2 linked regions of the Caenorhabditis elegans genome follow. The protein of the gene in region 1 purifies or fractionates together with the protein of each later gene. This does not show direct contact. Each region holds a gene or a part of one and is shown in the gene's direction. Other genes may lie near its edges. The genes, in order: nrde-3 and nrde-2.

What was found.
Region 2: the proteins of nrde-3 (region 1) and nrde-2 purify together in Caenorhabditis elegans (affinity purification with western blotting, with the first as the bait; one study listed by BioGRID). This does not show direct contact.

Annotation. Positions count from the first base shown.
Region 1 is NC_003284.9:365,982-382,063, forward strand, and holds nrde-3 (Nuclear RNAi defective-3 protein), read left to right. Parts: upstream 1-6,253; 5' UTR 6,254-6,272; coding exon 6,273-6,531; intron 6,532-6,577; coding exon 6,578-6,755; intron 6,756-6,804; coding exon 6,805-7,084; intron 7,085-7,432; coding exon 7,433-8,043; intron 8,044-8,095; coding exon 8,096-8,306; intron 8,307-8,514; coding exon 8,515-8,843; intron 8,844-8,890; coding exon 8,891-9,084; intron 9,085-9,408; coding exon 9,409-9,814; intron 9,815-9,860; coding exon 9,861-10,212; intron 10,213-10,268; coding exon 10,269-10,459; intron 10,460-10,507; coding exon 10,508-10,670; 3' UTR 10,671-10,919; downstream 10,920-16,082. Other genes in the region: R04A9.3 (NPL domain-containing protein), read right to left, coding at 11,409-11,464, 11,510-11,668, 12,304-12,414, 12,459-12,528, 13,279-13,393, 13,437-13,594, 14,102-14,206, 14,414-14,500 and 1 more; ife-2 (Eukaryotic translation initiation factor 4E-2), read right to left, coding at 15,546-15,753. UniProt on the Caenorhabditis elegans protein: Transports small interfering RNAs (siRNAs) from the cytoplasm to the nucleus. Required for RNA interference (RNAi) in nuclei. Required for exogenous RNAi-induced H3K27 methylation.
Region 2 is NC_003280.10:10,237,096-10,253,565, reverse strand, and holds nrde-2 (Nuclear exosome regulator NRDE2), read left to right. Parts: upstream 1-5,927; 5' UTR 5,928-5,955; coding exon 5,956-5,998; intron 5,999-6,055; coding exon 6,056-6,117; intron 6,118-6,166; coding exon 6,167-6,280; intron 6,281-6,325; coding exon 6,326-6,402; intron 6,403-6,447; coding exon 6,448-6,860; intron 6,861-7,034; coding exon 7,035-7,156; intron 7,157-7,205; coding exon 7,206-7,370; intron 7,371-7,415; coding exon 7,416-8,021; intron 8,022-8,103; coding exon 8,104-8,610; intron 8,611-8,682; coding exon 8,683-9,589; intron 9,590-9,649; coding exon 9,650-10,227; intron 10,228-10,276; coding exon 10,277-10,380; intron 10,381-10,642; coding exon 10,643-10,757; 3' UTR 10,758-10,970; downstream 10,971-16,470. Other genes in the region: F54B3.1 (Protein SZT2), read right to left, coding at 1-290, 879-1,356, 1,403-1,573, 1,758-2,049, 2,214-2,272; atad-3 (ATPase family AAA domain-containing protein 3), read right to left, coding at 2,695-3,094, 3,142-4,154, 4,201-4,575; mrps-14 (Small ribosomal subunit protein uS14m), read left to right, coding at 11,076-11,152, 11,644-11,817, 11,936-12,032, 12,901-13,152; F-box/WD repeat-containing protein mec-15, read left to right, coding at 13,878-14,039, 14,088-14,765, 15,302-15,427, 15,473-15,559, 15,884-15,963, 16,406-16,470. UniProt on the Caenorhabditis elegans protein: Protein of the nuclear speckles that regulates RNA exosomal degradation. Involved in short interfering RNAs-mediated silencing in nuclei.

The DNA of each region.
Region 1 (16,082 bases):
ATATTTCATTGTTGTTTTTCTTAGATAGAGAAAATATATTTTGAATTAATTAATAAAAAAAAACAAAGCTGGAACAAGCTGAAACAAAACATAGACAAACGGAGGGAGTTTCAACAATCAAGCCTCTCTCGTGAGAAAAAATTAAATTTTGGAACATCTTTTTTCGAATTTTTGTTTAAAAATCCACACTGTTTCTAGTGAATTCATGAAATTAAAGTTGTGTGACGTTTCCCAAAATTTTTAGAGGTCAAACTATGTGCCACACAATAACATTCGCTTACTTCGGTGAACGAGTAGTTGCCAAACTGAAACGCGTTTTGATAGCATCGATACAAGTCCAAGATCAATACTTGAATTCCTTTGCGGCGGTTTTCGGCAGTGAACTGAAAATATTGGGTGAATTGGTTTTGTAAAATATTCATGAACAACTCAAGGACTGACACAGCCACTAAATAAAGCAGGGATTTCAGAAAAAAACACTCAATTTCCATACAAAAAATTCCAACTTTACAACCAAGCTTAACAAAGTAGCCAAAGATTTAATATTTTATTTGAAGTTTGTTTTGTCTTCCTAGAAATTACACACTTAACGTTATTCCTTTAGTTAGTAAGAAATTTCGTTCACAGCTTCATTGGTTTCTGCAACTTCTAAAGGGATTTTAACAACTTTTTATAAATGTTTTGTTTCAAGTTGCAAGGATTTGCTTTAATGTTGGTACGTTTTGCCCAGCATATGAAACATTTTCATGGTCGTCACTTTATTTTAGTACCCACAATGTTGAAAATAAGTTTTTTTAGAAAAAAAGTTAAGTGCAAAAATTATTTTCACAAAGTTTTCTACAGTTTGCAGCTTGTTGTTTGATCACAGATTGACTGGGAAATAAATATAATGCAAAATTTTAAACGTAGAACTCAAATTTCATACTTAGAACATAATTCAAAAAAGCCCATTCAATTGTTTGACAGAGCAGTGGTTATATTGAAACACAAAATTAAAAATGGATGCAAAAAAAGTGTAAACAACGTATTTCTAAGAAGATTCAAAAACTGGTTTTTTGTGAATCATGTTTTATTTTTTGTATGAACTGACATGGTAGATTTTGACAGAATAGCAAAATGCATTAAATTGAAAATTTGGCGGAAATTATTTTCTTATCAAAATTTGTTTCCTAGTTTCAAAGTTGTGGGTCACTTAGTAATTCTACTGAAAAAAGGACCCATCGGATGGTAGCTCCTGTATGCTATTTTCATGCGACATTTAAGTTTAATATTGCTCCTCAAAAAATGGGGATAAAAACCTCAGTTCTCATACTGTTTTGACAAATAATCTAACTTGAAAATATTATAGAACAACTACAAAATGTGTTACGGGCAAACTTTGTCTCTGATAGTGAGACTAGCAGACTAAAAGAACAGATTGTATCTGTTTTAGTTTTTTTCTACTTACCAAAACTTCGCAGTGCTCCTCCAGAAGTGCGTTTTGCTCACGAAGCTTGTTCTAAACTTGAGATTTGTTTCTACAAAATGGATATTCTAAACTCACGAGTTCTTCTGGGGTTGCCACACGATTCCTCGGAGGAGAGGCTTGGTTTGTCGGGCTTAATTTGGAAAGCGTCTGCATTTTCAGCAAGTATCTGAATAAGTGATAAAAAATCCTGAATACAAAAGTTTTGGAAATGGCTCACCTCATTCGCCACCTCATTATACCTCATTTTTTCTTAGTTTTTGCGTGGGTAATAAATTGTGCATTATGTTTCTTAGAAATATTCTGTGTCACGATATGAAAATGTAGCAGTTTGCTCGAGAGGTTATTAGGTGTGCCTAATTGCTTACAATTTAAGATGTGATTTTGCCAAAATGGTGGAACGGGCTCAACGGTCACCGGACTGAACAAGTAATCTTTCAAGAAAGGGTCGAAAACAAGTAAATTTCGGCTTGGCGGAAAATAGTCAAAAAAAATGTAATATCAACATTTTAACAGTCACAGTGGGTGGCAATTTTTTTTTGTTTTTGTCGACGAATTCGGCAAATCGGCAAATCGACGGTTTGTCGATTTGCCGGAAATAATCCATTCCGACAAATTGCCAATTTGCCGATTGCTGGATATCAGATTTTCCGGAAATGTTTGGTAGAATTCGGAAACACTCAAAACTGTGCCTTTTTGAAATTTTTCCTCGTTTTCTTCAGATATTCTCATCGAATTTGTTTACGTTTAAAAATATATGCAGGAACATTCATAGGTTGCGTACAACTTTGCCGATTGAAATTTAAATTCTGAAATTTTCAAAAAAAGTGCAAAACCGCAATTTGCAGAAAATGTTTGGTAATTGCTGTTTTTTCGGTAAATTCGGCAAATCGGCAATTTGTTGGTTTTTTAATGGCAAATCGGTTTGCCAATCTGCCATAAAAGTTTCATAAAGTGCCAGAAATTTTGCAGGCTTTTTTTTTTGTTTTTTTGTGGTGTAATCGAATTCAAGACTATGCTCAAAAACGTTTAATTTTAAACATGATAGTTTGTGGTTTTGAATTGAAAATTTGAAACATAGTTAGTTTTTTAATAAAAGTATAATGCCGTGAAAATAAACACATAACGAGATGAAAATCCATTACAAACCTATTAGCTTTACCGCTACAATTGCAAGAGTTGCAGAAAAAATTATTGTCATCAGAGATAGAACTAATAGTAAGGCCAATTACTATCCCCACGTGCTCTTGAGCAATCGGAGCTGTGTGGATTTTTTCACTTGTGCCACACCCGATGGATAGCTAAAAACTTTTTTTATTAAATATGTCTTATATTCTCACTTAGCCGTGAATTTTTTTTAAACCTATTCCAGCATGACTAAATGCATTATTAGTAGGTTTTTAGAAACTTACGATCAAACATTTTTTCCAAATCGCGAGATGTTGAGTGCCATTTTTGACATTTTTTAATGTAAATTTCAAAATCATGTGTTACTTTAATTTAAGTTTCGAGCAAGACCCATTCCTTCAATACACCAATTTATGAAACAAAAATACATTTTCACAACTATTGACATGTTCATCTGCATAAGAGCATACTAACTTGAAGGTGGAGAAGCGCCAGTGGGGAAAGTGGTAAAAACTACTCCTATGGTGCCGAAATGACCAAATATCATAGTAAAATTTTATTTTTATTTGAAAATTTTTTTATATACTGTCAAAAAGTGACAATTACTCAGTTATTGCCATTCATAATTTTGGAAGTCGGCCAAAAAAATTGTTTTTCCTACGGTTTTTATATTTTAATTTTGTTTTAATTAGTTGTATTAAAACATTGTAGGGGTAGGAACATGCGACATTGCTTTATATTTTCTCAAAAGCTCATGTTTTTGAAAATTTTGGAAATTTGTAAAAACTTTGACCAAAAATTATGAAAAATCTAAAACATTTTTGAGTGCTTTATTATCATATTTGATTGTTTTGGATCATTATAAATTTATTTAAACAAAATCCCCACTGGCCTTACTCCACCTTTAAGCTTTAAAGAAAATAATTTTTCTGCGCACTTTTTTACCTTTGAAGTCCGTGGGATTGTTCCTTAATTTGATTATTGCAAACTTTTGATAAACTTAAAATAATTAAATTATGGGAAAAGTCTGACATTTTTGGAAACTTTCTTCTTTTTTTAAAATCTAATTATTATATTATTTGACCCGAAAATGCCAAATTTTTTTTTCTTTAGAACATGCCTTTATACCACGATGACCAAGTATCATAGTAAAAAAAATCAAAAAATTTTTCTATATTTTATATGATTTTTGAAAATTGGAAAAATCGCAATTTTGCCTTTTTCCTGTTTAAGTTATCGCCAAGAGAATTCGTTCGATGCAGGAAGCCTGTACGTTCTAACTTTTCAATTTTTTTTCTCTCATTATCTACCAATTTTCATGTTTTCAGTGTTTTTTGCACGAAATTTAAAGATAAAGTCGAGATGAATGCAAATTTAAAATTGTTATTTTTTTTCTTTCTTACGCTTGTGAAGTAGCCATTGTATTTAATTCTATTCTATGCAAAATCAATTTTTTTTCCATACATTGCTCTTCGAGGTAAAATTTACCCCGTTTACAATCCATGCATCTGCTACCATCTGCTTTGTGTCTTTTCCCCCTCTAAGAAAACCTTATTCCAGCCTCATTTGTCCTTTTTTTCTCTGTCAGTCTCTCACTTGTTTTTATTTTCAACGCTCAACCAAAATCATTGACTGAGTTATGCCCATTTTAGTTTAGCATTTTAGCAAAATGTATGTTTAGTTAGTTTTTAAATTGTAATAATCTGCGTCTTTTGTGTTATCAATTTTCCGGAAAATGTTATTTCTGAAAAAAATGTAAAAATGTTGGGGTTGCTTGAAGTTTTCAAACTGTTGAATCGCTTCAGTAATCGCCATTGAAAAAAACAAGTAGAATAATCCAGTGGGAAAAAAGTTGAAACAATTGAACCACTTTTTCAAAAATCTAAAGAACCGCCGCTGAAATAAAATATTTATTTTTAGTCCGAGTGAGTACATAATGTATTGTTTCTATGTAGTAGAACTGAAATCTTTTCATTTTTTCCTGAAAAATGTGTCCTCAAAAAAACTTTTAAAATGTTAAAATATCAAAATTCTATTTTATATTTTTCCCTTATATTTATATTTTAAAAAAAGTAAAACTTTGCCGTATTTCAAAAATTCTATTAAATTTTACACTTTCAATTTCTTCCAATAGATTGATTGACCGGAAAACTGAAATTCTTAAACTCTACGCAACCTGCGTCCGCTGTAGATCAGAGTAACAATCGAGCAATAAAATAAAAACTTTTTCTGTTTGCGCTGGCTTTTTGTAATCTTTTTGCACTTACTTCTAACATAATTGCAATCATTTTTACAATTTTATTGACGGACTCGCTAAGATACTGAAATGAAATTGTAGATTTTTCAATAATTATGCATTTGGATCAGGGGTGGGCAGCAATTTCTGTTTGGCAATTTTTTTATCCACATGTTTATTTTTTAGTTTTTATCCACAAACCGGCAATTTGCCGGTTTGCCGATTTACAGGGAATTTTCATTTTTGGCAAATTGCCAATTTGCCGTCGATCAAGTTTGCCGGAATTGTTTAGAGTAATTTTTTCAGAAGACGGAACTACTTTAAACTTAGCCTTGTTGAAATTTTATTCCCGTTTTCTCTTGATATTTTTTATAGGATTTGCTTATTTTTCAGAATAGATTTAGGAACATTCACAGGATACAATTTTGCCGATTGAAATTAAAATATTGAAATTTCAAAAAAAAAAAGTGCAAAACCACAAAAACAATTTACCGAAACTGTTCGGCAAATTTGGCAAATCGCCCATTTGCCGGTTTATCGATTTTCCGGAAATTTTCAATTCCGGCTATGTGCCAAATCGCCGGAAGTTTCAATTCCGGCAATTTTCCGATTTGTCGGAAAAAACAACGATTGCATTGAGAAACCACTCCCGCAAAAAATAATAAAAAATCTTGAGTACTAAGTTTGTTGCAGATTGTGGAGTGTGCAGGAGTTGCTCCAAACTAGACAAAACTCCCGAAAGGCTAAGATTGTAGCAAAAATCCCTAATTTCTATGAAAGAATATGTAGGAGTTTCTCTTTACGCAAGAGTTTCACTTCATTTAGGACTTTTTATTTTTGCCCGAGCATGAGATCATGAGAATTCCTACCGTTCCTCGTAGTGAAGGGACCTGCGTTTCTATTCGAAACATGCTCCACGGCACTTCGATATTTCGCGCCAAACCGGTAAGCATTATGACGATCTCATGGTTTCTTATTATTCATGTCTTCGTTAACGATCAGCGATGAAGGAGGAGTCTCCCCGATAACCGATCGATACGTTTATTCCGCGTTGCACCACACACACTCGTCTGTTACACAGTTCTTCATCTGGTGCGCGCTCTTTTTGATCGATCATACCTGCGTACGCATTCACCCTACACCCTCTTCCAATACCATTGCACACTAACCTCTTCTGTGCGCGCGCTCTGTTATCTTGCGCAAGAGACACATCTCACCCTCTCTCTTTCAAATGCCTTTGAATTTAGTTGGTGTTGCCTTTCATTCCTTTGCTGTGCGACTGTGCTGACGCTGTTTTTCTATTGATCTCTATTCTAAAATATAATTAACTAAATTATAAATACACAAACTATTCTTCTATTTTTTCTCGCTCTCTTTTTTCAGTTTCTTACATAAAATTTTCAAGTTCATAAAATTTCTTTCAGGTAATTTGCACAACTAATCATGGATCTCCTAGACAAAGTAATGGGTGAGATGGGCTCTAAGCCAGGCTCAACTGCCAAAAAACCAGCCACATCTGCGTCATCCACACCACGTACAAATGTTTGGGGCACTGCAAAAAAGCCATCCAGCCAACAGCAGCCACCGAAGCCACTTTTCACTACTCCGGGCTCACAGCAAGGATCTCTTGGAGGTCGGATTCCAAAAAGAGAGCATACCGATCGCACAGGTCCCGATCCAAAACGAAAGCCACTGGGAGGATGTGGGTTTTTTAGCAAGCGAAATTTGCACATATAATTGATTTTTAGTGTCGGTGCCGGATTCATTCAATAATTTTGGTACGTTTCGGGTACAAATGAATGCTTGGAATTTAGATATTTCTAAAATGGACGAGAGAATTAGCAGAATAATGTTTCGTGCCACATTGGTTCACACGGATGGACGTCGCTTTGAACTTTCTCTTGGCGTTTCGGCATTCTCCGGAGAGTAAGTGTATTTCTTTTTCATATTATATACAATTAAATGAATATTTTAGCGTCAACCGTCAACAAAGACGTCAAGCTCAATGCCTGCTCTTCCGGGCATGGTTCAAACGAAATCCTGAGCTGTTCAAAGGTATGACTGATCCGGCAATCGCTGCATACGACGCTGCGGAAACTATCTATGTGGGATGTAGCTTCTTTGACGTCGAGTTGACCGAGCACGTATGCCATCTGACAGAAGCTGACTTTTCGCCACAAGAATGGAAAATCGTTTCTCTCATCTCACGTCGGAGTGGGTCGACATTTGAAATTCGCATCAAGACAAATCCACCAGTGAGTTTCTTGAGCCGTCTATATCTTATCGACGCTGAAAATTTGAAACAGGAATTTTGACTTCAAAAGTTCACAAAAAGTTACCAATGAAGACGACTGTAAAAACATAAGTCCTGAAAGCACGGTATGACAACGTTTTCAGATTCTTAACTCATCTTTTAGCGTCTTTTCCTTTTGTATTTTGGCTGTCCCCGAGAACTTAAAGTGAAATGTTTGGGCGCTCTGATTTGAGCAAATTTCATGTTGCAGTTTTTATTTTTATTTAAACGGCTTCTTTTCAAACTACTACACAAACCTATATAAAAAACATGTCATTCTCCTTTTTATTTTTTCAAAAAAAAATTACAGATCTACACGCGTGGACCAAACGCTTTGACATTGGAGAACCGTTCTGAGCTAACACGTATCATTGAAGCTATAACAGACCAATGTCTTCACAATGAGAAGTTTTTGCTCTATTCGTCGGGAACTTTCCCCACGAAGGGGGGCGATATTGCCAGTCCCGACGAGGTTACTCTGATTAAGTCAGGATTCGTGAAGACTACAAAAATTGTGGATCGGGACGGTGTACCAGATGCAATTATGACCGTTGACACAACAAAATCGCCATTCTACAAAGATACGTCTCTCCTCAAATTTTTCACTGCCAAAATGGATCAACTTACAAATAGTGGTGGAGGACCCAGAGGCCACAATGGTGGCAGAGAGCGTCGCGATGGCGGCGGGAACAGTAGAAAATACGATGATAGACGCTCACCGCGTGATGGTGAAATTGATTATGACGAGAGAACTGTCTCACATTATCAAAGACAGTTTCAAGACGAACGCATTTCGGATGGTATGCTGAACACTCTCAAGCAGTCTCTCAAAGGATTGGATTGTCAGCCGATTCATCTTAAAGACTCGAAAGCCAATCGTTCAATCATGATAGACGAAATTCACACCGGAACAGCAGATAGGTCAGTTTCTCCAAAAACACTTTTATGCGTATATAATACTAACAAATTTCAGTGTCACATTTGAACAAAAACTTCCCGACGGAGAGATGAAGCTCACTTCCATCACAGAGTATTATTTACAACGGTACAACTATCGTCTCAAATTCCCACATCTTCCGTTGGTGACTTCAAAACGGGCGAAATGTTACGATTTCTATCCTATGGAACTCATGTCCATTCTTCCTGGCCAGAGAATCAAACAGTCACATATGACTGTTGATATTGTGCGTTACTTTTTAGTTTAAAAATAATATCGTTCGAGGAAATCTTGAATCTGGGCCAACTGTCGGCTTTTTCTTTGCATCATCATGTCTTACCTTGCAGATTGGTATAATGACCACGGTCGTTGTCAAGCCAAAAACATTAGTCAATTATTTCATTTTGTTATTTCAATTTATTCATTTTCATTTTCAATCAATATATTTATTTCAGCAATCTTATATGACTGGAAAAATGAGCAGCCTGCCTGATCAGCACATCAAACAGTCGAAATTGGTTTTGACGGAATATTTAAAACTTGGTGACCAGCCTGCAAATCGCCAAATGGATGCTTTCCGTGTGTCGCTCAAAAGCATCCAGCCAATTGTCACGAATGCCCATTGGCTCTCCCCACCAGACATGAAGTTCGCAAACAATCAGCTGTACAGTCTAAATCCAACCCGTGGTGTGCGTTTCCAGACTAATGGCAAGTTTGTCATGCCAGCCAGAGTAAAGTCGGTGACGATTATCAACTACGACAAGGAATTTAATAGAAACGTCGAGTAAGAATTTTCTTTTCGAAGAAATACTTCAATGATTATTTTTACAGTATGTTTGCCGAAGGGCTTGCCAAGCATTGCTCCGAACAAGGAATGAAGTTTGATAGCCGCCCGAACAGCTGGAAAAAAGTTAATCTCGGCTCATCAGACCGACGAGGTACAAAAGTGGAGATAGAAGAAGCCATTCGAAACGGCGTTACGATTGTGTTTGGAATTATTGCCGAAAAACGACCAGATATGCATGGTGAGTTTTTTTTTGTTGGATGAATTTATCCTACCAAATTGGGAGAGTGAATGAGGATGGCCACTAGGGCTGGTATCATTTGGGTCGCAATGCGATCTAGGTCGCCAGATCGCAAGTAGCATTGCGACCTAACACCTTATGTTGCAGGTCTACTTAGGTAGAGCACCACTTTACTAGCCACAAGCATTAAAGGTTAGTTGTGTGCGAGGACGCAAGGCATTAATTGTTACATTCGAAACTAAATACAAGAGTGTGCATGGAAAATTCTGAAATTTCTTATGTCAAAAACCGCATCACATTCTGATTCTGAAATTGCTTTTTCAGACATTCTCAAATACTTTGAGGAGAAGCTTGGACAGCAAACCATTCAAATTTCTTCTGAAACCGCGGACAAATTCATGCGTGACCATGGTGGAAAACAAACCATTGACAATGTCATCAGAAAATTGAACCCCAAGTGTGGAGGAACTAACTTCCTAATTGACGTGCCCGAGTCGGTTGGCCATCGAGTCGTTTGCAACAATTCTGCTGAAATGAGAGCAAAACTGTACGCAAAGACGCAATTTATCGGATTCGAGATGTCGCATACAGGCGCTAGGACCAGATTCGACATTCAGAAAGTTATGTTTGACGGAGATCCAACTGTCGTCGGAGTTGCGTACTCTCTCAAACACAGTGCTCAGCTTGGAGGGTTTTCATATTTCCAGGAAAGTCGTTTGCACAAGCTCACGTAAGTTTGAATTTTTCCGTGTTCTTAATCTATTTGATAGTTTTAGAAATCTTCAAGAGAAGATGCAAATTTGCTTGAATGCTTACGAGCAATCGAGCTCGTATCTTCCTGAGACAGTTGTTGTCTATCGTGTCGGAAGTGGTGAAGGAGATTATCCGCAAATTGTCAACGAGGTTAACGAGATGAAGCTGGCTGCAAGAAAGAAGAAGCATGGTTACAATCCCAAGTTTCTCGTTATTTGCACACAACGCAACTCTCACATCCGAGTATTCCCTGAACACATTAATGAACGTGGAAAGTCCATGGAGCAAAATGTAAAATCCGGCACTTGCGTCGATGTGCCAGGAGCCTCTCACGGATACGAGGAGTTCATTCTTTGTTGCCAAACACCTCTGATTGTGAGTTGATTTTAGCAAGGGATGTTGAGCACAAATGTTTTATGATCAATATTCAGGGAACAGTAAAACCAACAAAGTATACTATCATTGTCAACGATTGTCGTTGGAGCAAGAATGAGATCATGAATGTCACCTACCACTTGGCGTTTGCCCACCAGGTCTCTTATGCACCACCAGCTATCCCCAACGTGAGCTATGCTGCTCAAAATCTTGCTAAACGTGGTCACAACAACTACAAAACACACACGTGAGTTTGACCTGCTTCCAAGACAGTTTTAATTAATCGGTATCACAGAAAGCTTGTGGACATGAACGACTACTCTTATCGAATCAAGGAAAAACATGAGGAAATCATTTCGTCAGAGGAAGTTGACGATATTCTGATGCGCGATTTCATTGAGACAGTTTCCAACGATCTAAATGCAATGACCATCAACGGACGCAACTTTTGGGCATAATTGCCGTTTTTCCATTATCATTTTGCAATCTGTACTCTTTTGCCACCTCATCCTGTTTTTTTTTTCAAATCTCTATCAACTGCTCACTTTGCCTTACAATTCTTGATATCAAACTCTCATCCCCTTATACTTTAAGAAGTGTCAATGTTGTTTTTTTACTATTTATTCATTATGTATTCCTTATTTCTAACACTATGAACTTCAATATTAATTTTTTTAACCAACCAATAAATTCATGGTTTACCAGGGATTTCACTTGATGACTTGAGGGCGAGACATATAACGATCGGGGAGCACACTTTCAATGTTCAAATTTGAAAAAAAAATGGCAGAGGAGCACCTTGCACTGAAAAATATTGACCTGAAAATGTTTCAGTGCATTTTTACAGCACTTTAGAAAGTCTGATTTTACATTTGTTTAGGATTAGGCAAACTATCTGGGAGCTTCTTGGAAAATTTTATTTAAAAAAAATCTTTTATTCTAATATATAATTTCACTTTAGTTAACAAATGATTATTTGATTAATTAATTGTTGTTTATTCGGATCTAGATAAGATAGAACATTTAAAAAATGAGCATCGGGGTGAATCGAATAACACACAAAGTAAGAAAGAAGCATCAGAGTACATCCTATGTAAGAAAAGTAAAATATAATTCCCTTTGGTAAAATAAACCTTTGGATTTATACTATTTTATTTTAGTTCTCGAGATATTTTCTTAATACATCACTGCGGGTTTCACTGGTTTTTTCCTCGTTTTTTCGGTGGTGCTGATGTGCACGGCTGGGAGCATTCTGGAAAAAAACAAATTATTTAAAAGAACACAATTAACTAACAACCTCTTTCTGAACTGGTATCTTCGTTATTTTGCCGTTTTAGTTCATTCTCTACTAGCAAAAGTTCTTCACGTTCCGCATTATTTGAATCAATTTTTTCATCGTCCGAATCGTCGTCCGAATTTTCGGAATCATCAATGGATGTTAGTGTAGTTGGAGGCTCTGCAATGTTTAGAAAATTATTTTGAAATTTTGTGAAATATAATTTTCTGCTCCTTAAATTATCAATGTCGTGTGTTTGATTAGAAACATAAATTAATAGGTTTTATTTTACTGTTATTGGATCATTTTCTTTATTTTGGACAACTTTGGTTAAAAAATGATATAATAAAAATCAGTTGAAAATCGATGTATTTGCTGTTGAAAAACATGTTATATATTTCAGCTTTTTTAAAAATTTACTCATAGTAAACCTTTACCTTTTTTTTTATTATGCAATTTAATTTTTGGTTTTTGTTTCCTTATATTGTTTTCTTTAGAATAATTATAACAGTTTCTGACATTTAGTTGGATTATGCTGAAGAAGGATTAAAGGATTGAAGGATTAAAAGACGACCCGTTCTTCAAGTGCTATGCACTGCGGATCTGGGATTCAGTTACACTGCCTGGTGGTGACCGCAAAGGTGACCGCTAAATATTTAAATATTTGAATTTTTTTGAGATTTTTAACTGATTTTTGGGGTTATTTAACTAGAGAGCCCCGTCAACTTATGGTGGCCAATTTGCAGGGGCTCCCTAGTAAGATAAGTCGAAAACCCGAAGAACCAGCAGGCCTGATAAAACCTCTAAAAACTAACGATATTTAAAAGTCAAAAGTTCCCTTCCGTTTGATAGTTGCCGTGTTGTTTCTTTGGGTAATAATCCAAAAGTTTTATAATGTTTTGTATAGTTTCGCTCATCAAGACAAACTGAAAAAAGTATAAAATCATGGTAACAAATTAAGAAAAATTACCAAATAAATTCATACATTCCGATTTTGTCCATTTCAAAGAGACAAGCTGGTTCATCCAATCGTTATCTATCTCAAAAAGAAAGCATTGGTTTAGTTTTAGGCAAAATCATGAAGACCGAGAGAACCTGCACAAAACATGCCCGCTTTGTAAATCTGAAATTAGAACCAAAAAGAGAGCCATATTTTTCAGCGCACAATTAACATTGCAAGGTTTTTTTTTTCAAAAGTGAGACTCAATTTTAACAGTAGAAAATTGATGTTGGAAAGTTGCTTTTTTTGTTATAACTTGTATTGAACTGTCAATCAAACATATCAATACAATTAGTTGCTTTTTATTCTAGTTTGTATTTGCTCACGTGGTGTCAGGTTTTCCCATTTTTGTTTGATCTACGTAGATCTACGTTAAGAACGTGCTGACGCCACATATTTTTTGGGAAAAGCCCATTTCCCCCATTTTTTGTAGATCTAACTCTAATGGGACAGCCTGATACCACTTGTTTGCTTATTTTTGATTTTTTTTTTCTCTAATTTGATTCTTGTCATTACATACTAATAATAGACTTATAGAAACCAACTAATTCCAGACGTTTTCAGACCACAACATCTAGAAAACTTGTTTTGTTCGGTTTGTTTGTTTTGCACTATTATATGTCTCTAAGTTATCATCTCCAAAATTTCAAAATCTACACATTTGTATTTTTCCTAAATTTGATGTTCATTTTAATATTATCTCGGAGGAAAGTTAACATATAAATAACTGTATTTTATACGTATTTCTTCTGTTACCGTACGTTGTTCGTGCATAGAAAACCCAACTCACAAAGTGAAAAAAGTAAGTCGTTTCTTCTGTATATGAAGTCATGGTTATTTCCTTGACGTTGTTTTCACAAACAAAACGGTTGGTATTCGAAGGATCAATAACAAACATTAGTGAACTAAAATTATACGATACTTCAACAAATAAAAACTTGGCCTTACTCCGAAAAACACTGGAAGGTTTTCTGTTTATTTTTAAGCAAACTTTCCCACTTTTTCACATTCACCGGAACTTTCTCAATGATTTTTTGAATGCCTTGAGCAGACAGACGGAGTATAAGAGATGTAGGTAGACTACAGCAAAGTTGAGGGCTTGAGTACTGCAAAAATTGTTGTTATACAACAAAAAAAAATGATCCGGCACACTTCGGCACCTCGAATTTTAAAAGTTTTCCGAAGAATTGTGTAAGTACATATCAGGGCTGTGCGGCAATCGAGATTTTCGGCAACCGGCAATTGCCGAAGTTGCGAACCCAAAAAATTTTGGCAACCGGTAACTTTTGGTCGCCGAAACTTCAACAACTTTTCGGCAACCGGCAAACTTGGGTTGCCGGTTGCCGCACAGCCCTGGTACACATCTTATATTGCAGTCAAACACGGTCAACCCCGCTTTGTTGCTACTCATAATTTTATAATAGAAATCAACAGTCAATCCAACTTTTTAAAAAAATTCTGAAAATTTTCAAATTTTCCATGAGAATGTGGTTTGTGCAAAAAGTTATTTCATTCAAACATTTCCGACCGTTTCAGAAAAAAAAATCACAATAAATTTTGACTGAAAATTTATGACGCTTTTTAAAATGACAGATGCCACAGTTTTTACTCACCAGTACTTGAGACACATCAACGGCAGAGAGATTAATTGAAACACTGTTCTGTTTGTCGAGACTTGGTACCGGGAATTCAAATGCTACTTCACGGGTGTTTCCAGTCTGAATTTATCTGTATCCTAAATCATTTTCATTTTCAGAGTTTTTAGGTAACTGCAAAATTGTGGAAAAATTCTCAAATTGAATACTTTGCAAAAATTGATTATCATATACCGTATTTCCTCTATTAATATTGCAGCCGACTACTTAACTTTGAAACGTTAGGTACTTTATAAATTTCTTTTTCAGTTGGACAACAAAAAAACAAACATTTCTAACGGAAATTCGAAGAGATCTTATTTCCTTTTTCTTGTAGTTAAATTTGAGATCACCCCACCATGCTTGGCAAATTGAATACTGCAAAAAAAATTTGGACAAATTTTCGACGAAAAATCCAACCGTAAACTCCATTTCTTCCAAGCGTTTCATTCGGTTCTCATCCATTTCCCCATTTAATTACAATTCAGGACAGATGAATAAGCTGTAAAATTTGTAATTAAACAAGCTTAACGCAGAATTTTTGCTTAAAAAGTTTTCCACCATTTGTATGTTTAAACGTTGTCTTTTTTAAATTCAATAAAAGTTTTTAAAGAAATGCTGTTTGGTTTCAACACTGGATAATGCTAAGAAAATTGAAAAATTCTGTGGTTCATTATTTAAGAAATGTTTGTTTTCCATTAGACAATTTTAAAATCTTGTCTAATTAATTTTCAAGCTAATTAAAACCAAATTAAAATTAAATGTTTTCCATTGAACACTTAGAACTTTGAATATTTTCCGAGGGGTAGGTTTTCACGGCGGCAGACAATTTCCGAGTTTGGCCACTGATTATAAGAGTGGCCTAACTCGGAAATTGTCAGCCGCCGTTCACGGTATCCTACCCTTTGGAAAATTTCGAAAATCCTACACACCGGACGCAATGAATGTATCCGGTCCGGACGCTATACTTCAAAATTTGTCTTGAAAACCCAATAGACTTTTTGTGCTACGTATCCATGTGAGGGTGAGAAAAATCGCCATATCTTACGCGCAAAAAGCACCTGTGTCTCTTTTCTCGAACGCTGTCTAACGTCTAGGCAAAACGCCTATCGCGAGAGAGCGTGTGGAGCGTGTGGAGAAGAGAGACGCGGGCGTCCGCAGTTCTCATCAAATCATGGACACGTTATAAGTCAGTTTGTAGTTTTTGAAAAAAAAAATCCAGAAAACTAAGTGATGATAATACACTCTTTTTTTATTCAGTTGAAGGAAAACACAGATATAAAACATTCGTTCATTTCCGCAAGCCAACCAAATAAAAACATTTCAACAAGTGAAGAACATGTTAAAATACGACGTGAATACGCATTAGGATTTAAAAAAAAACAAGATATATGTTAATAAAAATAACGCATCAAAAAGAAATTTAAGTGGCTGGTGTGGCAGGAGTCTCGGTTGAGACTGGAACTGGGGCTTTCTCCTCGCGTGGCTCCACCGCGTAAATGGCGTGCTTCGCTTTGACTCCTGAGCTCGTCTTCTTCTGGCAACTCTCATGATCCTCATAACGGAGAACGTCGTAGAGTGGTCTCTGATGGATCATGCTTGCATTGTTGAGCACTTGCTTCAAGACGCCTCTGCAAAATTGAAAGTTTCACTTTAGTTACTCTACAGTTGCCTGTCAATTTTACATGTACCGCTGCTTTAACATAATTTTGGAATTTCGCTGACCATTAAGCAATCAAATTCTGTGGTACATATGAAAGATGCGCTAGACTGGTTTCATAACCAATAACGTTATGTGTTGCAAACGGTTAGCAGTGGAAAATTGTTTTTGAACGGATGAATTGCGTCTTGTAACACCCAGAAGTTGTCTGTGGCTCAATCAAATGTAATGATCAACTAGACTAGTTTCATAACCAATAACGTTATTTCTACAACCTCATTAGTTTTTAGACTATAAAAA
Region 2 (16,470 bases), on another chromosome or scaffold:
TTCAACAGTTCGTTTTATCACTAATTGACCCTCTTGTGTTCTACTCAGAATTAATGGATCTTTTGGTGGTTGTGGCATTTGACGTGGAAGATATGTTCCAAATGTTGCCATTGTCATGAAATAAAAGAGAGATGATGATCCAACATGTCCGAATACAGGTTCTGTACAAGCTTTCTTTTGTAATTGAATGAACGAAAATGCAACTGTGTAACTGCGGAGTTGGGTGAGAACATTTTGCAAAGCTTCTTCGTCAGGCATACCGCAGACTGAATCAGAGATTATCACCAGATCTGAAATTAAGTTTTCGTTGTATAATGAAAAAAAAGCTCAAATTTTCAATTTTACAATTTTTAGAATAAATTTTCAGTCAAATTTTTTAAAGTTCAATTTTTTTAAATATGGAAAGACACTTTTTTTTTCTTTGGAATATCGGAAAATCGAAACAACTATATTTTTACCCATTTTTGTGATTTGATTTTTTTCTCGATTTTCAAAAATTGGAAAATCTTCAAAAGAAAAGTCCAAATTTTTGTAAAATCGAAATTTTTAAAAAGTTTTTCCGCTGTTCGAAAAATCGCAATTTTTCTTCGGAATATCGGTAATTCAAAAAAAAAAAAAGAATCATAAAATATGATTTTTTAATTCTAATTTTGTTCATAATTTGAGAAAAAACCAAAATTTGAAGCTAATTTTTGAAAAATCGAAAATATTTTTTTAAAAACCTTTCTTTTGTGAAATTGAATTTTTTTTTCGTTTTTCCACTTATCTGTAAAATCTGTTTTTTTTTCAGAATATCAGAAAATCGAAAAAACTTTTTTTTTTCAATTTCTGGGAAATCTAATTTTTTTTGTTCCCAGCCCTGTGACTTGATAACTCACTAGATTGAGTATTTTCGGGGAGCATCTGAATCTGTAAAAGACCCATTCGAAGCATAAATATCAGCGACCAATCCGGTGCAACATAACTCTTATCACTTGCAAATGACAATTGTTTCTGATCTTCATGACGTTCAGTTGCAGACCATATTCCACGTTGTATTGACATAAGATTCCCACCATCCATTGCTCTGTCTGCATCTCCATCATTTTTGTGTGAAGTCGATGCTGCGGAAGATTCAGATAAGTGAATATTTTCCGCTGATGGTACTTTTCGACTGCAATCTTCACTCTGCGAGTCACTCTCACAAAGTGAATCGAATTTATTGTGCTTGTGACGACGTTTCAGTTTTCCCCACATTTCGAGAATCGGACGGGAGAAGGTGAACAGTCGTTTGTAGATGTCGACGAACTTTATCTCAACCGATTCAATTACCATATCAACATTTGATTCAGTGACGAAGACTCCTTGGCATAACGTCTGAAATAATTTATGAATTCGGATGCAAGCGGAAAAAAGAACGTACAAAAGTCTCCTCAAACTTCATAAAAGGTGTGAACAAGCAGATGGACGTGTGAACTTGAGGACGAAAAATTCGATTCGTTCCGGGTATGACAAATGATTTTACTGATGATCGTAGAGCATTTCGAAGGCTTGGGATGATTCGATCAACGAGGCAACAGTTGGATTCATCGTCCTGAAAAATTACGTGATTTCGCACAATTGCTCTGGGCTGGGACTTGTTAGGTTTTTCATTTGTTTTTTTTTTTGGTATTTTGACGAAACATTGATTTTTTGGTTTTTGGGACCAAAAAACCAAGGCTCATTTTGTAGAATTTTCAGATGAACAATGCAGCGCAGCCGTGCCAAAACCAACTCACCGCCATAACAACGGATGGACTGAGATCAAGAACAAAAACAATTCGATAATATCTGGATATATATGTGCATTTCGTTCTGACAGTCACAATGAATTGCTCGTCTCCAACGACTTCTGTACCATCTCCTCCGGCTGGTACAATCCCGATGACTGTCATCTCTTGCCTGTACTCATCTTTTGGATCTTTTGATGGTTTATATGATGAGCATTGTGGAACTTCTTCGATTGATACGGCCTTTCCGAGATGATCAATGTACCAATGTGCACGAAGATTGCGGGATGCACGGAAGATTCTGAAATTATTGTTTTTCAGGATTTCTGATATTGAAAATTGTGGTTTCTAGCTTTTTATTGTTGCTTTTCTGGAAATATTAGGCTAAAAGCTCATAAACGTTTAATTTCAATTGATTTCTTATTTTCTGAAAAAACCATATATTGCCAGCTTTTTCCTTCTTACCTGTGCATAAACAGAAAGACCTCTCCGGCCTCCCGCAAGTTTTTTGTTTCAGTATCCATTTGATCGTTTTAATCGAACATTTGGGCTGAAAATTATTTTTTTTGCTTTTTCTCTTCAGAAGCTTTCAAAATATGAAAAATTGAAGTGCAACAAAAGCGATTATTAGTTAGTATTACATTAAAATGAAGAGTTTCTTTATTAACAAAAAAAAAACAATAATCTTTCACTCTACTTAAATTACTACACAAAAACTAAATAAAAATGACTGACCTAGAAAATAAGGGGAAAACGAAAAAAAACAATAGAAAAACAAGGGCCTAATTGAATTATCTAAAAAAATTATATTATCAGCAAAATTTCTGATTAAGAATGAAATTACGAAATTACCGGAAGTTTGAAGATTTCAGAAAAGAAAAAACAACAAAAAAACGTAAATAGAAAACAATAGAGTATCATGAACAAGGAAATGAATATTTTGAAATTAAACAGCAGTTTCTCTCTTCAACGTAGTTCCGAACTTGACTTCTTGGTTACGAGCTTTCAATTGCTCCTTCTCAAGCCATTCCATCTTATGTTCATGTTGAACCATTGCGTCAGCAGTATTACGATCAACGATAGCCTCGGTGAGCACTCCGGTTTCAGATGCATATGCAGAAGCTTGCCATCCGATGACAAGTTTACTCAATTCTCTTCCACTCATTCCAGATGTCTTTTTGGCAACTTCATTACACTTAGCAACCCAATCAAAGTTATCGAGTTTCAGTCGTTGAGAACGAGATCCACTAGTTGCTGGAGTGACGATGTGCTCGTTGAAGTATTGCAGAAGAATTCGTTCACGTTCTTCCATTCCTGGCAGTGTGAATTCGACAAGCTGATCGAAACTGAAAAGAATAATAAATTCTGTTTTTTATTTAAAAAAAAGGATTACCGATCGTTAACTGCCCAATCGAACTGCTCTGGCTGATTAGAAGCCACGACAAGCATGAACTTTCTCGACTGCTCTCCAGTTCTGAAGAGGAAAGCGTTGAGAGCTGCACGTGTGTCTTCAGACATTCCATTCTTTGATCTCTTTTGCAAAAAAGCGTCAGCTTCGTCAATAAAAACAATCAACCCTTTGCGACTTTTTGAAGCCCAGTCGAATACTTTATGAATTGCAGATACTCCATCACGTCCAAGTGGAGCAATATCTCCTCCAGTGAGAACTGCGTAATCGAGTCCGGAATGTTGAGCCAAACTCTTTGCGAAAAGTGTCTTTCCGGTTCCTGGTGGTCCGTAGAACATTACATTACGGAAAAGTCCATTATTTCTCTTTGTGTTTGAGGTGGTAATGGCAATATCACGAAGACGACGTTCCAAAGCAGGTGGTAATACAACTCCATTCAGTGGATCCTTCTTCTGACGAGTCATCATTTGAACACTTTTAATTGGGTGTTTGAGTACTTCAAGTGGAGTGATTCTGGATGTTTCTCTTACAAGACTTGGTTTTCCGAGACGAGATTCGATGTATCTTGCGGTGACTCCAGTTCCTCGTTTAGCGGTATACCAGCCGACAGCCAAAGCAGTCAATCCTCCTACTGCAGCAGCGATTTTCGTTTTATCATTCAAAAATTGATTGAGTCCAGAACCGATAAGTTCTCCACTGGTTTTAATTTTTTCAATGACAGTTTTTCGGTTCTCTTCTTCGTGAAGCTTCATTTGCTCTAAGTTTACATCTCTGTTATCTCGAGCAGCCTTTGCCCTGGCTCTGGTCTCTGCGTCAATTTTCTCGAGCTCGTATTTGTGTTTTAATGCTAACTCATGCTCAATAGTTTGCTTGCGAAGTTGTTCCTGCTTCTTGACAGACTCTTCTTGTTTTCGGAGGCTTTCTTCCTGCATTCTAGCTTTCATGGCAAGCTCCTCTTCGGCTCTCTTTCTGGCCAATTGATCTTGATATTCAGCACGCTGAAATTATTTAGTTGTTATGTATTCAGATGTTTGGAAAAATTACCGAATGCGCATGTTTAGTCTCTTCTCCCAAAGTCTTCCTCCGTTCTTCTTCAGCAACACGAATGTGCTCTGATTTCATATTGGCCAATTGAGCTTCGATCTTCTTGGTCTCGTTCTCGACCTCTTTTTGGCGTGTAACTTCTTGCATTCTCGACAATTCAAGAGCTTCTTTGGCATTTGGAAATTTCTCTAGATCACGAGCAGCCTTGGCGGCACGCTCCAAAGCTGTTGAGTCGAAGGAATATGCCATTTTGCTGTTTCCCTCTTGCCGTTGGCCTTGACCTGGTTGTTGTGGACCGCCAGGAGCAGCACCTGCTTGAAAATCATCCGGAATCTGCGGAGTAGCGTTTTTTTGAACACCAAATAACCAAGACATCTGAAAGAATAGATTGAAGCTTGGGATGGTGCAAAAATATTCTAAGGAATATTGATTAAAGGAAATGATTTATATATGTACTTATGCCAAAGTATGAAACAATAATTTCTTTAAAGGAATGAAATTCGGAGAGACTTTGTGTAATCCTTGAAGAAAACGTAGTATTAAAACAGAGTTGCAACCTTTTCAGTAAAATTAGATGATGCAAAACAGATTTTCCGGCTCATTTTCCCTGAATTTAAAGGACCTGCCGTCAAAAAAGACCTGCCGTCGTTATAATTCACGAATTTCTATTTTTTGAAACACATTCTGCATTGAAAAATAAACTTTAAAAAATTAAATTAAGATTGTTGGAAAAAAACAGAAATCGCTAAGGCAGATTATGCTCCAATGACATTTTCTGACGCATTTCTCGATATCGTAAAGTGCGCCAGCGTTCAAAGGCCACATCTGAGGCCCCACGAAAAGGGGAGCAGAACGAAAAGGGGATCTGCAAAAAGGGGATCTGCGAAAAGGGGAGATACGGAAAGGGGAGATACGAAAAGGGGAGCAACGAAAAGGGGATCTGGCACTGTGCCAAACGCTATTTTTCTCGAAGAAAACGATACAACGATTGTCGCGAATACGCAGAATACTGATGTTCCGCCGATCACGACTGAGAAATGATATTAATACCCAGGAAATGCGTCAAGGAAATATTAAAGAATTATTATGATTATTACGAAGTCTTTCCGTATTCTAAATGCTCACGACAATCCACCGAAGTCATCAACAACGACAAAGCCGGGAAACTCCTGTTTGAAAGCCGCGCCAAAAGACACACACGTCACGAGTGTTACAGTACTACCACACATGCACATCAAACCCCAACACGTCGACACCGCGCAAGGAAATCGTCACTTCTTCGTTTTACTCCCGGACCGGCAGGTCGCATGTTAAATATGAGCTTTCTCATTTTTATCATTCAACGGATTTATCAGTAATAAATTATATAATTCTACCACTTTTGAACCTATACCGATCCGAAACATGGTGCATCGGCTCCGATGTTACGCGTCGCGTGTTGTTAAGCGTATCTTCTAGAAGAAAACTTCAAAAATCAACGTGCGTTGCGTGAGAAAAATTGCGTTTTGTGCGTTTGGCACAGTGCCAGCTCCCCTTTTCGTATCTCCCCTTTTCGTATCTCCCCTTTTTGCAGATCCCCTTTTCGTTCTGCTCCCCTTTTCGTGGGGCCTCCCACACCTTTGTTTTTCTTTTCGAACAGTCACATTTTTCCTTTTTTTTTTTGTTTAAAACTTTCTTTCTTTCATTAAAAAAACAATTATGCAAATTGTGAATTAAGCTGTTTTCAGGGTAATATCATACCAAACTTAATGAACAATGTTTCGAGCGTATGGAAATAATGGATTGAAAAATCCAGAAAGTAAGTTTTTTCTACGAATTCATCTCATTTTTATAAATGCAAAATTCATTTTTCCAGGAATTTCTGGTGAGAATCCAGATCTTTATACGCAAACAAGGGCTGCTGTTCAACAACGAGCGGTGAGAAATATTTAGTTTTTTTTTTCATCTTTCATGCGATTTATTTCAGACTACCACTCTAAAAAGAAACGAAAAACAGAAACTCGCCGTGCAGAATGACTCTGTTTTTCAGCAAGTTGGAATTGGAGAATCTGATAGTGATGACGATAATGGTGGTGTTCGGGTGAGGCCAGTGACATTTAAACTTTAAACTTATTTTTGCTTTCAGATTAGAATGAGCCCCCACAGGTACATTGATCCAGATGATGTTTTCACTCTCCCAGAGGTGAAAAAGCAAAATGCCTTGTGCGTAAATAATTTTTCTAGTTTGAAAATAATATAAAATTTCAGGAGAGACGCGAAAATTGCGGCCCGAGCAGCTCAGGCAACTGCTTACAATACATTTCCGTCCGTTAAAAGCTTAAATGGTTGCCAAGATCCACCAGAAACAAGTCAACAATCCACAAGTCGTAAACGTTCAGCAAGCAACAGCAGGAGTCCATCGAGATCTCACAGTCGCCGATACGATCGGGATAATGGCAGGCAACGCAGCAGGAGTCGTGAAAAGAAGAGAAGAAAGAAGGAACGCAGACGAAAAAGATCCAGTAGCCGAAGCTCTAGTTCATCTCGTTCTCGGGATAGGTCATCTCGTGCTCGGGATACGTCATCTCACACTTTAATGAAAATGAACAAACCTGCAAAATATGCATTTCTCACCGATGAAGAATATCGCACGTGCGATGCGTACATTTCATCTGCGTTTAGTAAGTTTTTTCATCGAAAAAAGTGATCATATCACAATAAAGTTAATGCTTATTTACGATTCAAAGTTAAAATATATTTAGAAATTAAATATTCATATTATCGCCAGCCGGCAAATACTGCGCAATTTTCAAATTATTGTTAATTTAAAAAGTTCCAACGAGAAAAAATTACAGTTACTCAAACTAAAAGTGATTGTGAAAACTATACGCAAGGAGTTCCGAAGAAAGAAATTGCCAAGTGTCGATTGAGTGTCAAGTTTATTGTCGGTTTGGAGCATAACAATATTCTGTTCAACGTATGTTTTGGCACTTATTTTTTAATCTTTTCAAAAAACCAGTTTTCAGAATATTTATGGAGCGGAATATGCCAGAGACAAGGAAAACCGCCCATTCTGGGAGCAGCTGGATAGATACTTGAAGGATGTTCCGAAAGAGACATTCTTTCGATATGTGCCTCCAGTCGGCGGTTACTGGAAGATTCGTGACAGAGTTGATTTATTAAATCTTGATGTGAGTTATTTTGAATATATCGGAAACCGAAAACCAAGATTTCAGCACATTGACGATGATGTTCTAGCAAACGATTCGGATAATCGAAAAGATGCGTTCACATTTGAGCTCGAACAGGCGAAGAAAACATTTTCCGAAAATGTTCATAACATTGATGCTCTAATCAAAGTAATTTCAATGGAAGAAGAAATGTGTCGTCGGAATGTTGGAAGTTTCTCCAGTTCAAATCCAGCAGCTCTTGCCGAACGTCACCAGGAAATGGTGAAAAAAGCCATTAAAGCCGACGGTAGAAATGCAAAACTTCGATTGATGAAAATTGAATTACTCATCAAAATGGATCCCAACTCTCCTACTATTATTGATGACTTCAAAAATCTTACCATCACATTTCCACATGAACCAATGGTATGGATCAAGTATTTGGACTATATACAATATGATAGCAATGTGTACAATTACAAAAAATTGAAGAATGCATTCGAAGATTGTATCCGACAAGTGACTGGATTGACAAATGGAACACTTCTTTCACATTTGAATGCTGTTAACGATAGACCATTGCTTAGAATGTTCCATTTATGGATTTATATTCGTTATTTGAAGTGGATGATTTCCTGTGCACACACGCCAGTGGTACTGGCAAACATACAGGTGAGATTTTAGGAAATACTAAGAAACCTTTGGTTTTGTGAGTATTAAATCACTTTTTTTTTCAAGATTTTACTTATTTCAGGCCACTTTTGAATACAATTTTGGACTCGCTGATGTTGAAAAGCGGACGAGCACTAATTCAAAAGAACGGGAAGTCAGATTGGAGGAATTCTGGGAATCTGGTCTTCCGCGAATCGGCGACGAAGGTGCTGTTGGTGCAGAGAAGATGCTTAAACAATCGGAAGAATTATCTGATGAAGATATTCAGAAATTGGAAAATGATGATTTTGATATTCTTATTTCACGCACCGAGGAAACAATAGCGACGTGTCTTCAAGCTCAACGGGACGTGCAGATTTCGTGGATCGAAGTTGAACGAGAAATGATGAACATCGATGCTCGCGTGAAACGGACGAAACTGAAAGATTGTGAACTTTATGAAGATCATGTGGACGACTTAGAGACATGTGAACTCTGGGACATCATTCCTTTTGATAGAATTCGATATTATGAAGCACCAGGCGATTGTGCTAATTTCGATTTTGTACAACCTTTTTTGGAGTTGCTCGGCGTCAAATTTTTAAATTCGGTAAGCAAATTTCAACTAATATTATGCTTGAAATTAATTTTGAGGAATTGTAAAAATACTTTTTTTTTCCAGACGAACTGCTTCACAACAACCGAACAAATCATTTCTGATTGGATTTCTAATGATTCTACTGTTAACTTCTACAAAACTCCGACTTATACCGAGAAAAAGTGCTTTGAAGTTGGAAATAATATTCTGAAGTTTATGCTTTACAATCGACTCAAACTGACCGAAAACAATCCTGAATACTTGGATAAGACTATGGTGAAGTACTTGCTGGCAATGCTCGTCACCGAAGCTTCGGAACAGGAGAAGAAATTGAATTTCCACAGTTTTAAACTGAATCTTAAAAACTTGGTTGGAACATTCATCACTAAACATCCAGACATTTTCAAGCGTGCCATGCTGAGTAAGATCACAGGAATTGTCTACATGGAAAAGTTTGTGTCTTGGTGGGAGCGTGCACTGAAAGAACAGGAAAAAGTAGTGGAAGCTGACGAGAGAAGGAAGAATTATAAAGAGATCAAGATGGAGGAAGGCGTCGTAGATGATGTTAAATTCGATGTCATATTGTTAAAGAAAGACAAAGAACGAGTGCAAACAATTCGTGATAAGATTAGGGATATGATTGATATAGCTATCCCCAAATCAACAGAAAAGCTCATTCAGAGCGCTGATTCTTCATTGCCAACGCTTCAATTACATCTTTATGCCAATGTTCTACGTGGAAGACTTTCTATTCTAAATCAAAATGCTTTAGAAGAGACTCGAGATGTTTTCTGTAAAGAGATTCTTGGAATTCACACTTCGGAATTTGAAAGTGATGAAGCTCTCTTATTGGCATTGGATCAAGGATTGAACGAATTGCTGGAGCATTGCAAGGAGAAGGACAATCTTGAATCGGTCGACAGTATACCAGAATTACCAAGAGCTGAGGCACTGTGCGAAGCTTTGAAAGTTGTGGCGGTATTTGTTTTCTGTGAGTTTTATAGTCTTTGAGTCTTTGTAAAAATTAATTGATTATTTTATTAAATTTCAGTGGACAAGATGGCATTCAGCAGGCGTGCAGTCGACTGCCTCATTGCCAACGCGATCACCAAATTCGAGCAATTTGAAGCCAAGAAAAATGATTTCAATCGTGGAACTTATGAAAAATACTGTGATCAGATCGATTTGAAATTCATCACGGACACTCTCATAACCTTCTTTTCGCACAAAAAACACCGTTTCATCTACAATGAAAACTTCAAAAAGTTGATCTTCCAAGCATCGCAAGCGTTCCCATGTGATTCGAAATATGCGAAGATGCTCGGCGAGCTGCATTCCAGCGGTCGTCTGCAAGTGATGAAGCTTCAAGGATTCACCGACAGCAGAAATAGTATTTTGAATGCGAAACGAGATCAGCAATTTGATCCAGAACTTGAAACTCGTCTTCTCATGAACTCGTTGACTATTATGTTCTCTTGGATGAATGCAGCCAACCGGATTGGAGACGCCGGAAATCAAATCCTCTATAAAAATTGGAAACGAGAAGCAGCTAATACACGTGATCCGGCTATCTGGAGACAAGTTATAAGAGTTGCCAGTAAATTGTCACAGAAGATTCTAAAGGACGATGTGAGTTTTCAGGAAAAAAGGTTGTATGTGAAATTTAAATTTCTTACAGGCTTACACTCGTGCAAGAGGTCAATGTACATGGGCTCTCAATTTGCACTTTGATTATATTGAAGCAAAAACTGTCCGCAAGAATGGAGATCTAATGGAGATGATGTAAGTTCAATTATTGAGAGCAAAGTTTCAGTTCAAAAATGTAATTTGTTGTGCCCGATTTTTGAAAATAATCAACTAAGATTGATTTTATTACAATGTTCAAATTATCGAAGTATAATTAATTTAAATCGTATTATTTTTTTTCGATTTCTAGTCTAGTCTATATACAACAATACAATACAAAGCGAATAAATTTTATTAAAACGCTATGCAATTATAATCAGCACACATGCCAATGCATTCTAAATAACACTATTTACAGCTACCTCATTCTCGAACAAAGCATGGGACAAGAGCATAGTTTATTTGTGACCGACGAGGAATACATGAAAACACAGCAGGAAATTGGACTACAGTATTCCGAATCCGGACGTTGATTCTCTCTTTTTTGTGTAACTCGGCCTATAACTTTTTTAAAAATCCATTCCATATAATTATCCACCGGTATTCATTTCATCCCAGGAATCTTTCTTTCTTTTGTTCTTTCTATCCGACAGATTATGTTTATTTTTGTATTATAATTCTTCTGTCTTTTCGCATTTTTTGTTTCGGTAAAAATTTTTTGTTTTCAACAATGAAAATATTCGTTTTAATGTCATATTTCTTTCATCATGAAAGAGGTTACACTTCCTCCAACCAGTTCCTTCCATGCATGAATAATTGTATTAAATATGTATTGCAATGTATGTGCACAGATGTTGAGGGCACTCCGCGGAGCAGCGGACCTACTATCGACGGCTCTTTACAAGAATGAAATGATGATGAGTAGAAGGTGAGTATAGATTTCTCTAATTATTATTTAAACTATGCGAAAATCCTGCTTTTGGCGAAAAATTTTGATGTTTTGCTTTTTTTACACTCGAGAATATTTTAAACTTTCAATTTATAAAATTTGTTTAAGCGAAAATTTTTCGTTGAAAAAAGTGAACCTGCCACAAAATGGAAACGTTTTTAAAAAATTAATTTTTAGAATTTCCCTTTTTTTTCCGAAAACTTACACTTGAAATTAGAAGTAAAATGCAATTATTATTAAAATATTCGAAAATTCTCAACAAAAAAAAACGTTTGAGGCCTGCGAAATTACTCGTATTTTTGACGAAAAGTTCAATTTTTGCTTTTTTATTCGAAAAAAAAACTAAATGGAAAACTTTTTTTTTGGTTTTCAAATTTCAAAATTTGTTATTCGAACTCAATCCTTTTCTCGCGCTGAGAAAACAGGAATTATCGTCTTATGGCTTAATTTAAATGTCCAACAATTTCCAGATATTTATCAACTCCAGCTCCTGAACCTGCAAAACCATCATCTGAAGAGACTACGGAATCCACGGAACCGGCAACATCTGTAGAAGATGCTGGAGAACCTATGAAAGAGAAACGAATCACTCAACCATATTCTAGCGAGGCGCTTACAAAATTGAAACTTGATCAGTATCCATTGTAGGTTTTTGGTTTTTTTTGTATATTTTTGAAATTATTGCCTGCCGCTTTTTTATTCTCAAAGTGAGAAAGAATTGCACATAAACTATACACTTGTATTGAATATACGTTTCTATAGATACGTGGAGAGAGAATGGTGGAAAACCGGAAAACGAATGACATTCTGGGCGAGTTGGCGTCAGTTGAGAGATGTCAAACGACGTGAGCAGATTCAGGTTGGTTTCTATTTTTTATACGAATATTGTCATATGTGCTAAAAATATTTTTGGTTTTTATTTCAAACCAAAAAGGAAAAAAATTGAAATTTGTAAAAGAACCAAAACAAAAAATACCAAAAAATACGAATATTGTCATATGTGCCAAAAAATTTGTTTTAAAGGATTAAAGGATTAAAGGACGATCCGTTCTTCAAGTGCTATGCACTGCGGATCTGGGATTCAGGTACACTGCCTGGTGGTGATCCCTCTGGGCTGTAATTTAAGCCACGTCCTAGCCGGGGACTGTGGCCGATAATCCAGTCGTGGATTGCTCCACTTCCCAATAGAGGCTGGGTGAACCTAGGGGGTGAGGCCGGACTTGAACTCGTGACCTCCAGACTGCTAGCGGCCACCACTACCGACAGAGCTAAAAAACATCAAAAACCATAAGAATATTTACAAAATATAAATTGTTTAAAATACAAAAAAAAAATCGCATTTTTCTTCGTGCCAGAATACCAAAAAACACCAGGGCTGTCACCAAAAAAAATTTTCCATAAACAAAAAAAAGTTTTTCGCTTCTTTTCACATGTCTGAAATTTTTTAAATATTTTTTTTATTCGAAAACCACCAAAAAATCGTTATTGAAAATCATTACTTTTTAAAAAAACAAAACCCCACAAAACAGAAAACCCAAAAAAAAAACCATTTTTTGTGACGAAAAAACCAAAAAATTCCCTTTTTTATTAAAAAAACCCCCACAAACCAAAAAAACCAGAAAAAACCCATTTTTGTAACAAAAAACCCCCGACACCCCCATTTTTGACAAAAAAGCCTTAAACAAGCCCAGGCCTGCTGCTTGCCCTTGATTAAAATTTAATTTCAGGAAGTCGGCGCGGATCGTATGCGTCTAAAAGCTATCAAATTCAACACAATTCTCCCGCAAGCGATTCGTGACGAAGCAGCCGAGAAAATGCAAAAAGCTCGAAAATACGATCATCCTCGTCTGATTCTCAATATGTGCCAGTTCACAGGACGACAACGTGGAAAGATAAAGCCATACAGATTGAGTAGACACTTGTTCCGTCGATTTGCAGATAGATCAGCTCTCAGTGGAGTCCAAAGAGCCATGTGGTAGTGTGAGATAGGAGTTGTAGTTTTAGATTTATTTGTTTTCTATTTTTGATTTCTTCTTCGTTTTGAACACTTCTTTTGTTATCGATGCTCTTAATGAATTATTTTTGTTTTATTGTGATATAGATTATGATATCTCTGTATTGGTTATTGATCAATTAAAATACTTTTTTTTCAGAAAAATTATTATTTTCAGATGTTTTTCTGTCCATCAGTGTGCGAGCGTGCTCCACAGCCCCAATACAATGGGTCTCGTTAGTTAATTGGCGGCAAAAGCCTAAAAATTCAAACGTTTTATTTTTCGGCAATCAAGGATGTCTTCGAAAAATGTCTGCTTCAGAGATTCACTGTTTTGCCTCCAATACCTAACGAGACCCAACTATTGGAGGCGGATCCTGCTCATTTCGCTGCTGAGCGCGCTTTCACATTGATCTCAAAAAACGAATTTTTCTGCGGTGTCGGCTTCAAAAAAAATTTCCAGAGAAATCGCTATTTTTTCGTTTTCCCATTGTTCACAAATTACATTAAAATTTCGGTCAATTTGCTTCCTTTTAGTGAAAAAGTATTTTTTTTCTCTTATCAACAGGCAAAGTTTGATTCAAAAAATTTAAAGTAAAAAAAAGATTTCAAGATTTTCCAGAAAATCGAAAATTTTAATTTTTCGATTTTTAATTTTCTCTGAAACACTGCTTCCCATAATATCTATCTCATTATTCTTACAGCATCCTTATGACAAATGCTCAACCAACGGAGCTCATATCCCTTCCTTCGGAGCTCCTTTGCCATCTTTTCACCTATTTACCACAACGACAATTGATCACAGAAATTCCACTGGTATGCAGAAGGTTCAATACGATATTAAACGATGACAAATTTTGGAGTAGAAGAATTGTTCGTATTATTACTATTTTATCGAAAAAAATTATTTTATTTTTTTAGCGCACTGAGCAGAAAGTTCGTCTACCAGATTGTGAACTCAAGCATCCTGAGTATGAACCAAAGAAATCATTTTACGCGATGCATCGACAGAGAGATCGCTGGAGAGCATGGGAGACGCAGACAGTTATCACTGCTCCAGGACATTCAGCTACAGTCGATAGTGTGATGCTTTTCGAGAATAATAATAAGCAATTCTGTCTATCTGGATCCAGAGATCGAACTATTCGTCTTTGGAGCATTGAAAACGCTCGAAATGGTGAAGATACTGAACAAAATCCATGGACAGTGGCAAAAGATGATACAGCTCATTCTGGATGGATTTGGAATATGGCTCAAGAGAGCACATCAACAAATTTCTACACAACATCGTGGGATTCAACTGTAAAAAGTTGGCACATCACAGATAATGGAGCTCTTCAAAATCTTAATTCCGTGAATGTTGGATCTGCGGCCCAGTGTATTTCTTGTTCTGGAAATGAGAATGAAGTTGTGTGCACAACATTTGCGAAACGGGTCGCTGTCATTGATTCCAGAACATTTCAAGTAGTCGCTGATCACAAGCTGCACAAAAGAGCTGTAATTGCTTTGGCTGTTCAAGGGGATAAGATTTTTACGAGTGGAGAAGATAGACTTATGATGATGGTAGATCGACGAAATTTCAGTAAACCTGTGCTTTTTGTGAGTTTTTTTTAAATTGAGATTCAGCAAATTTTTGTTGAAGACAAAAAGATGAGCGCATTTGAAAAAGTACTGTAGTTTGAAAATTGTCAAAATTTCTTGCAAAAAAAATATTTTGCTGGTTTTTCTATAATTTTTCAAAATAAATTGCCAATTTTTGATGAAAAATTTTCTGCATCTTTCTTGCAAATTTTTGAAAGAATTAAGAATCAAGAAATTTTCCATCGATTTTTTGTATTTTTCGTTAAAACATACTCATTAATTCAAAAAAAAACTAAAATTAAAAATTAAAACGCACATTTAAATTTTAACAAATTGTGAGAAAATCTATGAAAATTCCACAGAAAAAAGTTGAAACTACAGTACTCTTTAAAGGCGCACACCTTTTCTAATTTAACAAAATATTATGTGCCGAGACCGGTTACCGTATTTTTGAGTAAAAAATTGCTACATTTAGATGCTGGGTGATTTAAAAAAGCATTTAAAAAGTTTTTTGAATCAAATTTTAAAAAAAATAATATGAAATTGAATTACAGGAATATTCTCCAACAGCATATAAATCATGTCTATCGCTTCAATGTAATCAACTTCTAACATCAACATCCGATGGAAAAGTCAAGTTGTATGATGCAAATAATTTCAACGTTTTGCAGACATATTCGGTAGGGAATATAGAATATTATTCAGTTAATATAAATAATTTCTAGGTCGGTTCCTATACCCGTCAATCATTTTTGGAGCACGGAGCACACTTGATTATGGCGCGAAGTTTGAAGCGTAATTACACATTCAGTGTGAGTAGAAACCATTTTAAGAAATTTCATAGGTCCCCCTATTTTCCTGAGAATTCGTTTTTTTTTTGCAAAATATGCAAAAATTCAGTGTTCCACTCTTTCCGTTTGTCTCTCTTTTTCGAGCACAAAAAATGAAAAAAAAAGCAAAGATGGATGTATATATTCGGAATTCGATTTGTCACAAGGCATTTTTTTGGTTTTTGGTTGCTTTTTTAGCACATTCTTGGACTCGGAAGAAAAAAAACCACATATCTAAAATTTTGAACGAACGAAAAACAGTGAAAATATGCATTAATTAGAATTTCAACCCGATTAAATTTCCAGATCTACAGCCCAGGAACACGTAGTCAGCAGTGGTGTGCTTCACATGAATTGGCCGCGGAGCCAGCCAAATTTGATTATTCGTAAGTTTAGTTGTTAGCACACAAAATTAATTGAAAAAATTTAAAAAAAACTTCTAAAAATGATAATTTGTAAAATTTTCATATTTTTCAGAAAATTTTAAATTTTCCAATTCTTCAAAATTTTGTAGGTTTAAGCTCTTAAAATTGCCAGATATTTTGGAATATTTTTAAAAAATTTGGATTTTCGAATTTTTAGAAAATTGGAAAATTCTTTATTTTTCGGCATTCCAAATTTTCAGAAAATTTTTTGCTTTTGGAATTTCCAACAAAATATAATTTTACGGCTTTCCAAATTTTCTAAAACTTTGAAATTTTTTGAATTCTTCAATTTTTATTTGTATTTTTCGGTTTTTCAAATATGCAAAAAAAACCGGTATTTCTGAAAAATTGAAATTATGCCAGATTTTTTTTTTGAAATTGACTAAAAATTTTATTTTTTCAGCCCATCATCGAGAACTCTGGCAATTGGCAATGGTGATAGCTCAATTCTGTTCTGTCTTCCAGCAT